Notamacropus eugenii: one gene and its partners. The protein of the gene in region 3 purifies or fractionates together with the protein of the main gene of each other region. This does not show direct contact. Links are inferred from orthologs where the notes say so. Each region holds a gene or a part of one and is shown on either strand. Other genes may lie near its edges.

The links.
Region 1: the proteins of MAPK7 (region 3) and PFDN4 purify together in Homo sapiens (affinity purification with mass spectrometry; 3 studies listed by BioGRID and IntAct, with this or other methods). This does not show direct contact. The link is inferred for Notamacropus eugenii from reciprocal best matches to the Homo sapiens genes MAPK7 and PFDN4.
Region 2: the proteins of MAPK7 (region 3) and PFDN5 purify together in Homo sapiens (affinity purification with mass spectrometry; 3 studies listed by BioGRID and IntAct, with this or other methods). This does not show direct contact. The link is inferred for Notamacropus eugenii from reciprocal best matches to the Homo sapiens genes MAPK7 and PFDN5.

The regions. Positions count from the first base shown.
Region 1 is NC_092872.1:512,589,798-512,593,546, forward strand, and holds the start of PFDN4 (prefoldin subunit 4), read right to left. Parts: upstream 2,432-3,749; 5' UTR 1,595-2,431; coding exon 1,571-1,594; intron 1-1,570. UniProt on the Homo sapiens protein: Binds specifically to cytosolic chaperonin (c-CPN) and transfers target proteins to it. Binds to nascent polypeptide chain and promotes folding in an environment in which there are many competing pathways for nonnative proteins.
Region 2 is NC_092874.1:226,239,367-226,243,115, reverse strand, and holds the start of PFDN5 (prefoldin subunit 5), read right to left. Parts: upstream 3,040-3,749; 5' UTR 2,973-3,039; coding exon 2,901-2,972; intron 2,810-2,900; coding exon 2,707-2,809; intron 2,378-2,706; coding exon 2,346-2,377; intron 1,133-2,345; coding exon 1,058-1,132; intron 950-1,057; coding exon 844-949; intron 1-843. UniProt on the Homo sapiens protein: Binds specifically to cytosolic chaperonin (c-CPN) and transfers target proteins to it. Binds to nascent polypeptide chain and promotes folding in an environment in which there are many competing pathways for nonnative proteins.
Region 3 is NC_092874.1:319,640,380-319,644,128, forward strand, and holds the start of MAPK7 (mitogen-activated protein kinase 7), read right to left. Parts: upstream 2,324-3,749; 5' UTR 1,993-2,323; coding exon 1,746-1,992; intron 1-1,745. UniProt on the Homo sapiens protein: Plays a role in various cellular processes such as proliferation, differentiation and cell survival. The upstream activator of MAPK7 is the MAPK kinase MAP2K5.

The sequences.
Region 1 (3,749 bases), on a different chromosome or scaffold from region 3:
TCAAGAGTGGGAATAATTTATTTTTATCATTTTATCACAAGCACCTGCACATATAATATGCTTACTGACTGATGAGATGTGAGGGTCGGAATTCAAACCCAGACTATTAAATCCAAGTAAATCATTCTTTCCCATACACTTCACTGGAATGAAATTCACTTTTACTATGAAATGTAAAAATCCCAACCTTCCCAAAAGGGAAAGTAATCCCAACAGACTGAGATTAGGCTTCAAAGTTGGCCGCAATGTCCTCCCTCTCTCTCTCCTCTCTCTCTCTCTCTCTCCATATACATATACATACATATATATATTTTTTCCTCAAATACTCAGGCTTCCTTTGAGAATTCATAGCCCTTACTGGGTGAGGAAAACCTGTGCCTAAATTTGTGCTTGACACTAGATTCACAGACCAGTGGCCAAAATGAATACTGGCTTTCCTACTTACTCAGTGACCTTGTACAATTCACTTCCTCACTGTGGGTCTCAGTTTTCTTGTCTGTGAAATGAGCAGGTAGGATTATCAGGAGTCCTTATCACAGCATTCAGCGAACAGATATAGATTCAATTAGTTCTTTTGTAATTCTACGTAAGCACTAGCCATAAAGTCAGAAGACCTGAGCTCAAACCAGTCCTCAGACACAAGCTGAGTGACCAGATACATAGTCTGTATCTACCTCAGTTTCCTCATCTGTAAAATGAGAATAACAAGAGTGAAGCACCTACCCTTCTAAGACTGTAGTGAAGATCAAATACGATAATGTTGTTAAGCACTTTGTAAACCTTAAGATGCTACATAAGTGCCAATTACTATCATTGTTACTACTTAGACACATTCCTCTCAGAAGGGGTTCGCTGGTCCCACCAGACAGCCAAAGAGGTCCAGCCAAGACACACAAAAAGGTTAAGAACTCCTGGACCAGATAACCGCTATGGTCCTTCTGGCTCTGACATTCTACGTTCTAAGGAGCCCTTCGACTCTAAAACCTAAGAGCCGACAGTCCTAGGATGGACGAAACTTGATCCAAGTACCCCCACCCAATCTCTCCAGCTACCCAAAGAGAACTTGCCATACACCCTAAGGATGCGTCCCCACCCACTCCCCAGACCCCCAGGGCGTCAAGGAGAGACAGCCAGGTACCGCCACTGCACATGCGCCCCAGGCTCTACCCCTCCGAGTGAGGCTGCCCCTCCCCACGGGGCCGGGCCGGGTCCTCAGGGGGCCCCAGTCCAGGGACGAAGAGGAAAAGGGGAACCAAAAGACTTCTCCGGCCCCTGATTATGTCCCTCGGCACTTCCAGACGCGCAGCCCCACAATGGCCCGAGGATGAGCCCCGGCCTCATGCCTAAGGTCCCCCCAAGCCCCACGGGAGTGGGGAGAAGGTAATAAGGCCGCTCCGGCCGCGGGCCCCTCGAACCGAGGGCCACATCTAGTAAGCAGACGCTCCCCAGGAGCTCAGACCCTCCGCGTGCCCCTCGCCGGCTTCATCCCCTCACAGTCCCAAGATCCTGGGCCATCCGAGGCACCGACGCCCCGGCCCAAAGCCCCAGACCCCCGGAGCGCCCCACTCACCGCCTTCTTCATGGTGGCGGCCATCTTGGGACTGGACCATCTCAGGGCGGGAGGGGTGGCACAAGTCAGCCCAGCCCCCCTGCAGTCACCTCTCGACTTCTTTCTGTGGGAGATTGCCACGCCCGAAAGAGAAATTTCTCGGCTCTCTTCTCTCTGCTCTACTATGCCTGATTTTTAGCATGTGGCAGCCGAGAGAGAAGGTGTAAACAAGAAAGCACTTGGTATCTTCCTCTTAAAGGCACAGCCACCCTCGTCCTCCATCCTTTACTGAAAAGGGGTGTGGCGGGGAGGTTGCAGTCTGCTCCAGCAGCGCTGAGAGGAGGCGGAGGGGACCAGACAGAGCTGCCCAATGGGAGGAAGGAGGGTTGTGACGTGCGGGTGGAACCCTCCTTAGACGACCTTAGCCCTGCTTCCCAGGCACTGCGTCTGGCCATTGTGGCCGCTTAACAAATGCTGCTTGAGCCCCTGACAGTTCCATGCGAGCAGTTAAAGCTTAAGAGGTTCCTGAGAATTGCTACTGTCCTGGTCAGCGCTTTCGTTCAGGCTCTCACCACCTGTCATCCGGACTACTGCAATCATCTCTTAAGAGCCAAGGAATGCTTGCCTCGAGTCTCTCGAGTTCATCCACAATGCAAACAAAGGGATTTTCCTCAAGCACAGTTCTATAACAATAGGACACGCCCGCTCAATAAACTCAGTGGCTCCCTATTGCCATGTCTAAAATAAAATGTAAACTTCTCTGTCATTTAAAGCCCTTCACAGTCTGGCTTGAATCTAGCCTTGCAGTCCTGTTACACATCACTCTTCCTTAACTAATCTACAATCCAGTCAAACTGGCCCATTTGTTGTTTTTTCCACACGGGACAATCTGTCTTCTGAGCCTCTGCATAGTCTATTCCCTTCAGGAATGTACTCCCTCCTCATTTTTTCTTTTTTGAATCTTAATTTTCCTTAAAAGCTTAAATCAAACACTGTCTTCCTCCTCTATGAGTCATTTTCTTTATGAGATGTACCTGCCTGTCTCCCCAGATGCTAGTGCCTCCCCTCTAAATTTACTTGTGTTTATTTTGTAAATATTTGTATAGATATAGATAGATAGATATAACATATATGTTGTATATGTGTACATGTGTCATATTAATGGGACTTGAAGATCTTCCCCACCTATTAAGGTAAGCTTGCTTAGAGGAAGGAAGGCAGGCTTTCACACTTTTTGCTAATTTCTAATTAGCAAGGTCAGGAGGATTGTGATGCCTTCTGGCTCTGCGAAGTGTATATATACTCTGAGTTGGTATTTTGCTTTAGGGCGTTGCTTATGAGAAGGACCTTGCGATTCCCTGGTCGAGCCTCTGAGCAACCCGATGTTCAGACTCCTGACTGCTCAAATGTAAAGGCTCTCTCCATCCAGGGATATATATGTAAAGTGTATAGCAATATTGTTTTGATTCAGGCAGTAGAGCCCTGTCTGTTGATCTTTGTCTGCTTATGTTTTCTCTGCATTTTCTCTTGTTTGTGTTTTCTCTGAAGTTCAGGGTGCTGACTTTTCCACTGAACTAGTGAGTGTAATTAAAAAAAGATTGTTGACCCCTTAAACAGCTGTCTTTCCTACTAATGAAGCTACAAGAACCTGTGGTAGCAGGTTATCTTGGGTATGCTAGAGTGTTTGCAGTTGCAACATATTGTCCTTCCTTATAAAATATATACTCCTTGAAGGAAGTAAATATTGTATTTTTGCTTTTGTTTTGCCAACACCAGCTTAGTTGCTATGAGGGTTGTTCTTTGAAAATTTAAGAATGTTACTTTTTATTTTTTTAGTTTATTTTATTTTTTTAAACTTATTCATTTTTAGTTTTCAACATTCACTTCTACAAATTTTAAATATTCTCCTTCTTGCTACCTTTCTCCCTCCTCAAGACAACATGGAATCTGATATAGGCTCTATGTATACATTCTCATCCAATATATTTCCACATTAGTCATGTTGTATAGAAGAATTAGAACCACTGGGAGGAACCATGAGAAAGAAAAACAAAAATAAAAAAAGAGACCAAATAGTATGTTTCAATCTGCACCCAGAATCCATATTTCCTTGTCTAGATGTGGATGGCATTTTCCATCATGAGTTTTTTGGAGTTGTTTTAGGTCATTGCATTGCTGAAAAGATCCAAGTTTTTCCTAT
Region 2 (3,749 bases), about 93 Mb from region 3:
AGAGATAAGCCTTGCAATCCACTCAGGAAAAAACAAGTGGATGAAGAATGAATATTGTCCAAATTATGACATGCAGTTGCACAGAGAGCCCATTGAGTTAGTCTCTCAGTACATATTTATCTCACAAAGGCATTACAGGTAGCCCAGATGAGCTGGGTCCTGAAATGAATAGGTAGTTTAAGATCGGGTTGAATTACAGCGGGGCAGCTGAATACCACTTCGTGTAATTACAAACTGATCCCTGCCACAAAAGCCCTTCTTTTTATCCACGGTAGTTTCCAGATGATGCTATGAGTGTGAAGCATGGAATTCTACAATCTCAAAAGAATCAACACTCAGCTGACCCAAAGTGCAGTGAAAAGCTGCATGGTAGGCAAAAGTAGGGTGTGGCGTATTACCAAAGAAGTTAGAGTAAGAAGTTGTGTAACAGATGGGCAGACAGACTGCTACACTGGCACCCTGGAAATGTTAAAAGAGTCAAGGGAATGCTACCAGCCCACTGGGTAGATCAGCTATGGAGAAATGGAAAGACAAAGACAAGAACTGCACATGCTCATAGAATGTGGATGAGTTGTAACTTGTGCCACGGAGGGAGCCCCTACACTGATGAAGTCACAGATCTTCAGAGGTATACGTGTTTTTTTACCCTCCACTAAACTGGGACTACCCTCCAGAGCTGGCACATCTCTGCTCACAGGGGGTACTCGATATGTGGTAATTGCCAAGTCAAGCACATATAACACCCAGAGAAAGACAAAGGCAACAGAGAAAGATGGGAAGACAGTGATAGGCCTAGAATCAAACAAAAAGGAGGTTCACTCGACCTAGAACCCAGGGGCTCACCCTGCTTCATGGCATGCTTCTCCTGCAGAGCGGGCTGAATTTTTTCCATCTGCTTAGTGAGGAAGTCAATCTTCCTCTTGAAGAAGTCTTTAGCATCATCTGCTGACTGCCAAAGGAGGAGAAGTTAATGACCCTCATGGACTCTTGGGGAGAGATATCCCAACTGTCCTGTCAATGATGCCATCTCCCAACCCCTCCTCTTGCACCAACTTACCTTCTCCACATAGTAGCCAGTTCCTACATCAATGAGAACATGCTCCACATCATGTAGCTTCCCAGGTACATACATCTGAGGGGTGAGGATTAAGGAAAGGGCTGGCCCAGCCTGGGACACCTTCACTTTCCCTCTCAAAAGCCAGAAGTTCTGAAGCTAGAGAGTTGTGAACTTAGTATAGTGTGAAATGGACAGAGGAGGAGAACGGTCAAGGCATTCTCTGTGAACAGAGAGCCCTAAAGAAACCATAAGAAGGTGCCCTATAACTGAAAATTTCATTTCCACCTGCTCACATTCAAAAACAAATCCATTTCTCTTCCTGAAATGTTAACTCCCATTGGTACTCATATTGATAAAGGATAACTTTCCACAAGCCTATTAAATATATAGGCAGTGGAAAAGTAGCACAGTGGACAGAGTACCAATTCAGATTCAGCCTCAGACATAGCTGTGTGACCCCAGGCAAGTCACATAATCCTATCTGCCTCCATTTCTTCATCTTTAAAGTGTGCATATCCAGCATAAAATAAGCTGGAGAAGAAATAGCAAACCACTCTAGTATCTTTGCCAAAAAAATCTGGAGTCATGAAGAGTCAGGCATGACTGAACACCACCACCAAATATAAAACTCAGGCCTCACTTCCAAACCCACCAACAACTTGGCTCCTGATTTACATGTATTTATATGTGAAGTCATTCAGCGTCTATTAGTTAACTGTTTATCTTCCATCAGTACTTATTTATGTTTAAGGAAGTTTATTAGACTACAGAATACAGGGATTTTCTCTATAAACCTGACGTAGGCAATGTCCAGAATAGCCTGTTGAAGTATAGTGACACATGGTAAAGGGATAGTTAATCTCAAATTGTGAAGCAATACCCACAAAGTCTTCTTCCTTCCCTCATCTCTATTTCTCTGTGACTCGTATGTAGTTTACTAATAAGCTTCTAAGGGACAAGGATATTGCTTGATCTCAGCTCTACTAATCCTGTGGTAGCCAGGACATTGTCTTATACTCAATCTGATTAGGGGACTCCAGGGGACTCAAAGGGCCAGTATAAACTTGAATCAGGTAGTTGCAATTAACTCTTTCCCTTCCCACTGATCACCTGAACTTAAGTATCTGAAGAGAGCTGAGGTTAGATCATGGCAAGGTAGCTAAGAAACATCCTCTGGCCCCATGTGAGCGAGGAGTTTTTTCAATCAAGTACGGAAAGGACTCTGCCCAAGGAACCAAAACCGTTTTCTAGGTGGGAAGGAAACCGGCAGTCTCCAGTGGAAGGATACAGAACTGGTCAATGGCACGAGTAATTCTTTCCCTGTGAAGGTAACAGAGATAAACACCAGGGGACGACGCTAAAAGGAAACCCAACCAGGAGGTTTTCCAGGCTGGAACTACTCAATCTGATAACCAAAAATGAGCGAGGAGAAAAGAAGAAGGAAGGGGGAGCTTCTGACATTTGGCATTTAAGTCAAAGTGTGAAAGAAATGGAAGGCCTTTGGTGTGAGGCTGGAGGGGGCAGAGAAGGCTTTCTGAAGAGCTGCTTCTCAAACTTGGGCGATGGGTTACTACAGAAAAGCCCAGCCCACACCCTCGCCCTCTCCGGCCCTCTCCCCCTCCCCTTCCCCCGCCCCCCCACCCCCATACCCTCGTTGCTCTTGTTGAGCACGTTCAGACACTCCTTGGCCTCCACGTATTTGGTCTGGACAACCTTGAGCTGCGCGATGGATGAGGAGAGAAACTCCACCTCCTGTAAGGGGCGCGGGGAGAGACAAGAATGAGGGGGGGCCCGGCGCGGACGGGCGGGGTCCGGGGTCCGGGGCGCCCCGGGCCGGCCTCACCTGGTCCAGCTGGTTCTTGAGCAGCTCGAGCTGCGGCAGGGACAGCTCCGTGATGTTCACCGACTGCGCCATGTTGGGAGGCTGGGCGAGGGCGGGGCGCGCCGGGCGTGGGAGGCGCTCTAGCCACCCGCCGGCCGCGTCTCTATGGCACCCGGAGGCGCCCGCCCGGCCCGCGCTCTCTATGATCCTGGGCCGTCAGCCTCCCGCGGGCCCACTGCTCCCGGAGCGCCGCCCCCCGCCCCCCCCCAGCCTCCCCCCGCCCCGCCCCGCCCCGCCCCGCCCCGCCCCGCCGGCCATAATGTATCCAGCATGTTGCCCTGCAGTGTGCGGAGTAGAAATACAGTGCTACTCAGAGTCGTGTCCGGATCGTGTTCCCTTCGCCACGCTCGGGATCCCCCAACTGCCCCGGGGAAGGGGGCATCTCACTGAGGCTTTCGGGGCCGAAAAGGTGGGGAGGCAGGACGGGAGTCCCGGGTTCGAGTGCTGGCCCGACTCGCGCAGGCTGCATCCTAAGTGTCAGTTTCTTAGTCCTCCTGGCAGTACTCTGATACTAAGTGGCAGATTTTCGGAAAGGATTTCCTCCCACCGGCCTGCTCCCCGGCCGCAGTTCCTGGCACACCAGGAGGCCCTTAGCGCTTGGTGACTGAGCGCACTGGGCATCACATCCTCCAGGCCACCCTGGAAGGCAGCCTTCTGGTACTCGGATCTCAGAGCCAGGGCCAAGGTCTTTGAAAGGCCACTGGACCCCGCTTGCCCCTCCGCTCCTCCTCAGAAATGTTATCTGTTGGGAGAGTCAGTTCCACTAGTCTCTAATGGCCACACCACTGCCCCACACTCAGTACTCCTCAC
Region 3 (3,749 bases):
TCACTTTCTTCAACTGTAAGAGGGGATAATAACAACATCTACAAGGTTATTGTGAGAAACAAATGAAATGCTATCTGTAAAGTGCTTAGCACACTTCCTGGCATAGAGCAGGTACTTAATAAATGCTTGTTTCTTTCCTTCCTTCCTTTTCCCCATTACCCTAGGTTCCCACCTTCCTCAATGGTTTACACCCTGGGGTAGGAGTTAGGAGGCCTCTCCTCTGGTTCCTGAGTTGCTACTTAGCAGATGTGATCTCCAGAGAAGTCACATTTCTCTGGAAATCATCTGGGAATAGCTATTTTTATATTTGTATATATATATATGTATACTTCTGTATACATAGGTATATATATGTGTATACCTATGTATACGTATATATTGCATCACACATGTGTTATATGTAACATGTTACAGCTATTTATATGTGTATGCATACATAATATTCATGTGTATGTTATATATACACACATAATGTAAACACATATCATGTGGGCACATGTATTGTACACACATGTATGCCTACACATGTATATGCACACACATGTCTAGGTATATACCTGTACATGTATACATATACATACACAGATACAAACACATCTTGCTTACTTCAAAAGATATTATGAAGGAAACCAGAGAAAGCTCTGAGAAGCAGAAAGAGCCAGGAATAAATCTAACATTTCATTGGTTCGCTCTACAGGCACACAGTTCATCAAGCACTGAGGAAGGCATGAGGAGTGGGGTGGGGGAGGTGGAACACAAGGACAAATATAGAACAGTCCAGGGCTCTCCAGGATCTCATATTCCAAAGGCTGGAAGTGAGTAGCATATATACTCAAATAAATAAAATAAGAGTACATGGAATAAGTTCCCCAAAGCTAGGATTCTCATAGAATTTCTGGGAAATTCGATACAAAGGACGACTCCCAATAGGGATGACTAGATGAAGGGATGGATGGAGAGTTGGCTGGATGACGAATGGAAGGGTGGTGGGTGGGTGGGTGGAAGGATGGATGGATGGACAGACCCATGGCCTGGATGGGTGGCTGGATGATGAATAGAAGGATGGTGGGTGGGTGGGTGGATGGATGGATGGATGGACAGACCCATGGGCTGGATAGGTGGCTGGATGAAGAGTTGGCTGGATGATGAATGGAAGGATGGTGGGTGGGTGGATGGATGGATGGATGGATGGATGGACAGACCCACGGGCTGGATAGGTGGCTGGATGATGAATGCAAGGATGGTGGGTGGGTGGATGGATGGATGGATGGATGGACGGACAGACCCATGGGCTGGATGGGTGGCTGGATGAAGAGTGGGCTGGATGATGAATGGAAGGATGGTGGGTGGATGGATGGATGGATGGATGGACAGACCCACGGGCTGGATGGGAGGCTGGATGAAGAGTGGGCTGGATGATGAATGGAAGGGTGGTGGGTGGATGGATGGATGGATGGATGGATGGACAGACCCATGGGCTGGATAGGTGGCTGGATGAAGAGTTGGCTGGATGATGAATGGAAGGATGGTGGGTGGGTGGATGGATGGATGGACAGACCCACGGGCTGGATGGGAGGCTGGATGAAGAGTGGGCTGGATGATGAATGGAAGGGTGGTGGGCGGGTGGATGATGGATGGATGGATGGATGTACAGACCTACGGGCCGGATGGGTGGCATGCACAGATGGACCATGGGGGAGGAGCAGCAGGCCAGGGCAGCCCCGGGTCCCCGTGACGGAGCTCACCGGTGAGGCGGCGGCGGGCGGAGGAGACCACCCCGTAGGCTCCGGTTCCGATGGTCTCGATGATCTCGTACTCGTCCCCCACCTCGAAGGTCACGTCGAAGGAGCGGGCTTTGAGCAGCGCCAGGTTCTTGGCCGCCACGGAGGCTGCCGGGCTGGGAGGCTCCGCCTTCCCGGCCTCGGGGCGACCCTCGGCGCCCCCCTCCTCGTCCTCCTCCTCCTCCTCCTCCTCCTTCCGGGGCTCGGCCATGGCGGCCCAGAGAAAATAGGAAAGGGGGCGGGGCAGGAGCGCCCCGGGACGGGGCAAGAACCGGGGTGGGGGGCGAGCGCAGGGCGGGAGAGGGAGATTCGCGAGCACGGGGGGCGGGGGCAGGGCTGAGGGAGAGGGGCCCGCGGACCCGGCAGACGGCTGCGCCCCCCTCCCGCGCTCTTCCCGGGGGGGTTAGATTCCTGACATCCCCAGATCCTCAGTTAAGGGGGGATACAGCGGCTGGGGGGGGGTGGGAAAAAAGTTTACCTGGGGTCACCCGCTCCCTCACCCTCCGCAGCCGCCACCTCAGGGCTGAGCTCCTTCCCCACCCCCTCTGGCCACGCCCATCCGCTCACACCCAATCGAAGGCCTGCCCTCCCCTTGTCCCCACCCACTAAGCTCGCTTCATCCTATCGGAGGCCGGTAAGAGAGAAGGGAAGTGGGGCGGAGAACCTGGCTCCTGGAGCGGGCGGGAGGGATCCGCCCAAGGTTCACGCAGCTTCGAATGGGCACGCGCCCCCAAGACTGCCCACCTCAGAGACCTGCACGGGCCGCTCTGGACCCAGGAATGGGGAACGTATCAGGAGGATGTGGCTCGAGCTTCTCACAGCCAATCAGAGCTTGTTCTTGGGCCAGAGGAAAGGGAAGGTTCGGGAGGAGGGAAACTGAACCATGTGGTCCGTCTGTCCATCACGGTCCTGGGGACTGGGCGCAAAGCCGGGCTAAGCCAATCACAAGCTGCTCCCAGAGGCGGCGGGCGGGGCCTTAGGGAAGGACTCCAGGGGCGTTCAATCCGTTTCCTTGGCGACTGCAGCGGAAGCCCCGCCTCCTGTTTCTCCTGGGTCTATCCGGGCCTCTGCTTGGCGCAGCCATTCCCGGGAGTCGGAGAGCTTGGGGGCGGGGCGAAGGCGAATGAAAAAGCCCGGCTCGGAAGGGAAGCGAGCCGGAAGTGAGGAAAGGAAGGGAGGAATGGTTTTGTTTCTCCGCTCGCTCCTGCGCAGGCGCTGGGAGGTTACTCGAGTTCCCAGCCGCTGGGCCGGTGCCTGGAATGGGCTACGAGGGAAGGGAGGTTTTTATCCGGAATGGCTGACCCTGAGGGGCCAGACGGGCTTCCGGCCTTACAGGCCTGTCCCTTCTTTCTGGAGCTGGATTCGCGCAGGAGCATTTCCTCCATGTCAGCCTCTCCCCCATGAGAGATACTAATTGGTGATCGATAGGATAGAGACGAGGCCCGAAATGGGAGACCCCATTGGGAGCTGGCCAAGTCCATCGTGTTACAGATACAGAGGCTGAGACCCAAGAGAGCGTGTGGCTTCCCCAAGTCCAAAGCCGCAGAACCAGAGCCGAACTCCAGGTCTGCTTGGACTCCCGGATCAGTGCCATCTGGCTGTGCCACCTGGCAGTGCCCCGCGGCCTCCTCTTCCGTGGCACGTGGGGCATTAGAGTGCCCGGGAGGGTGTTTGACCGTGGGCAGACAGAGTCTGAGCTGGATGGAATCTGAGAGCCTTGTGGAGGCAAAATGGGACTTGAAATACAGAAAAAAAAAGACTGAGGGAAGAATGCCAACAGTCTGCGGCCCCAGGAATGGTCTTGATGGGGCAGAATGGGAATCACTGGTCCCCTGGGGTGAATACAGATAGACTCTAGGGAGGATCCTGATGGCAGTGGCTGGTAACAGGATCAAAGGGAGGAATAGCAAAAGAATGCCAAATAGAAGATAGAAAGGTTCTGGCCTGGCAGAAATGGGAGGGGAATCC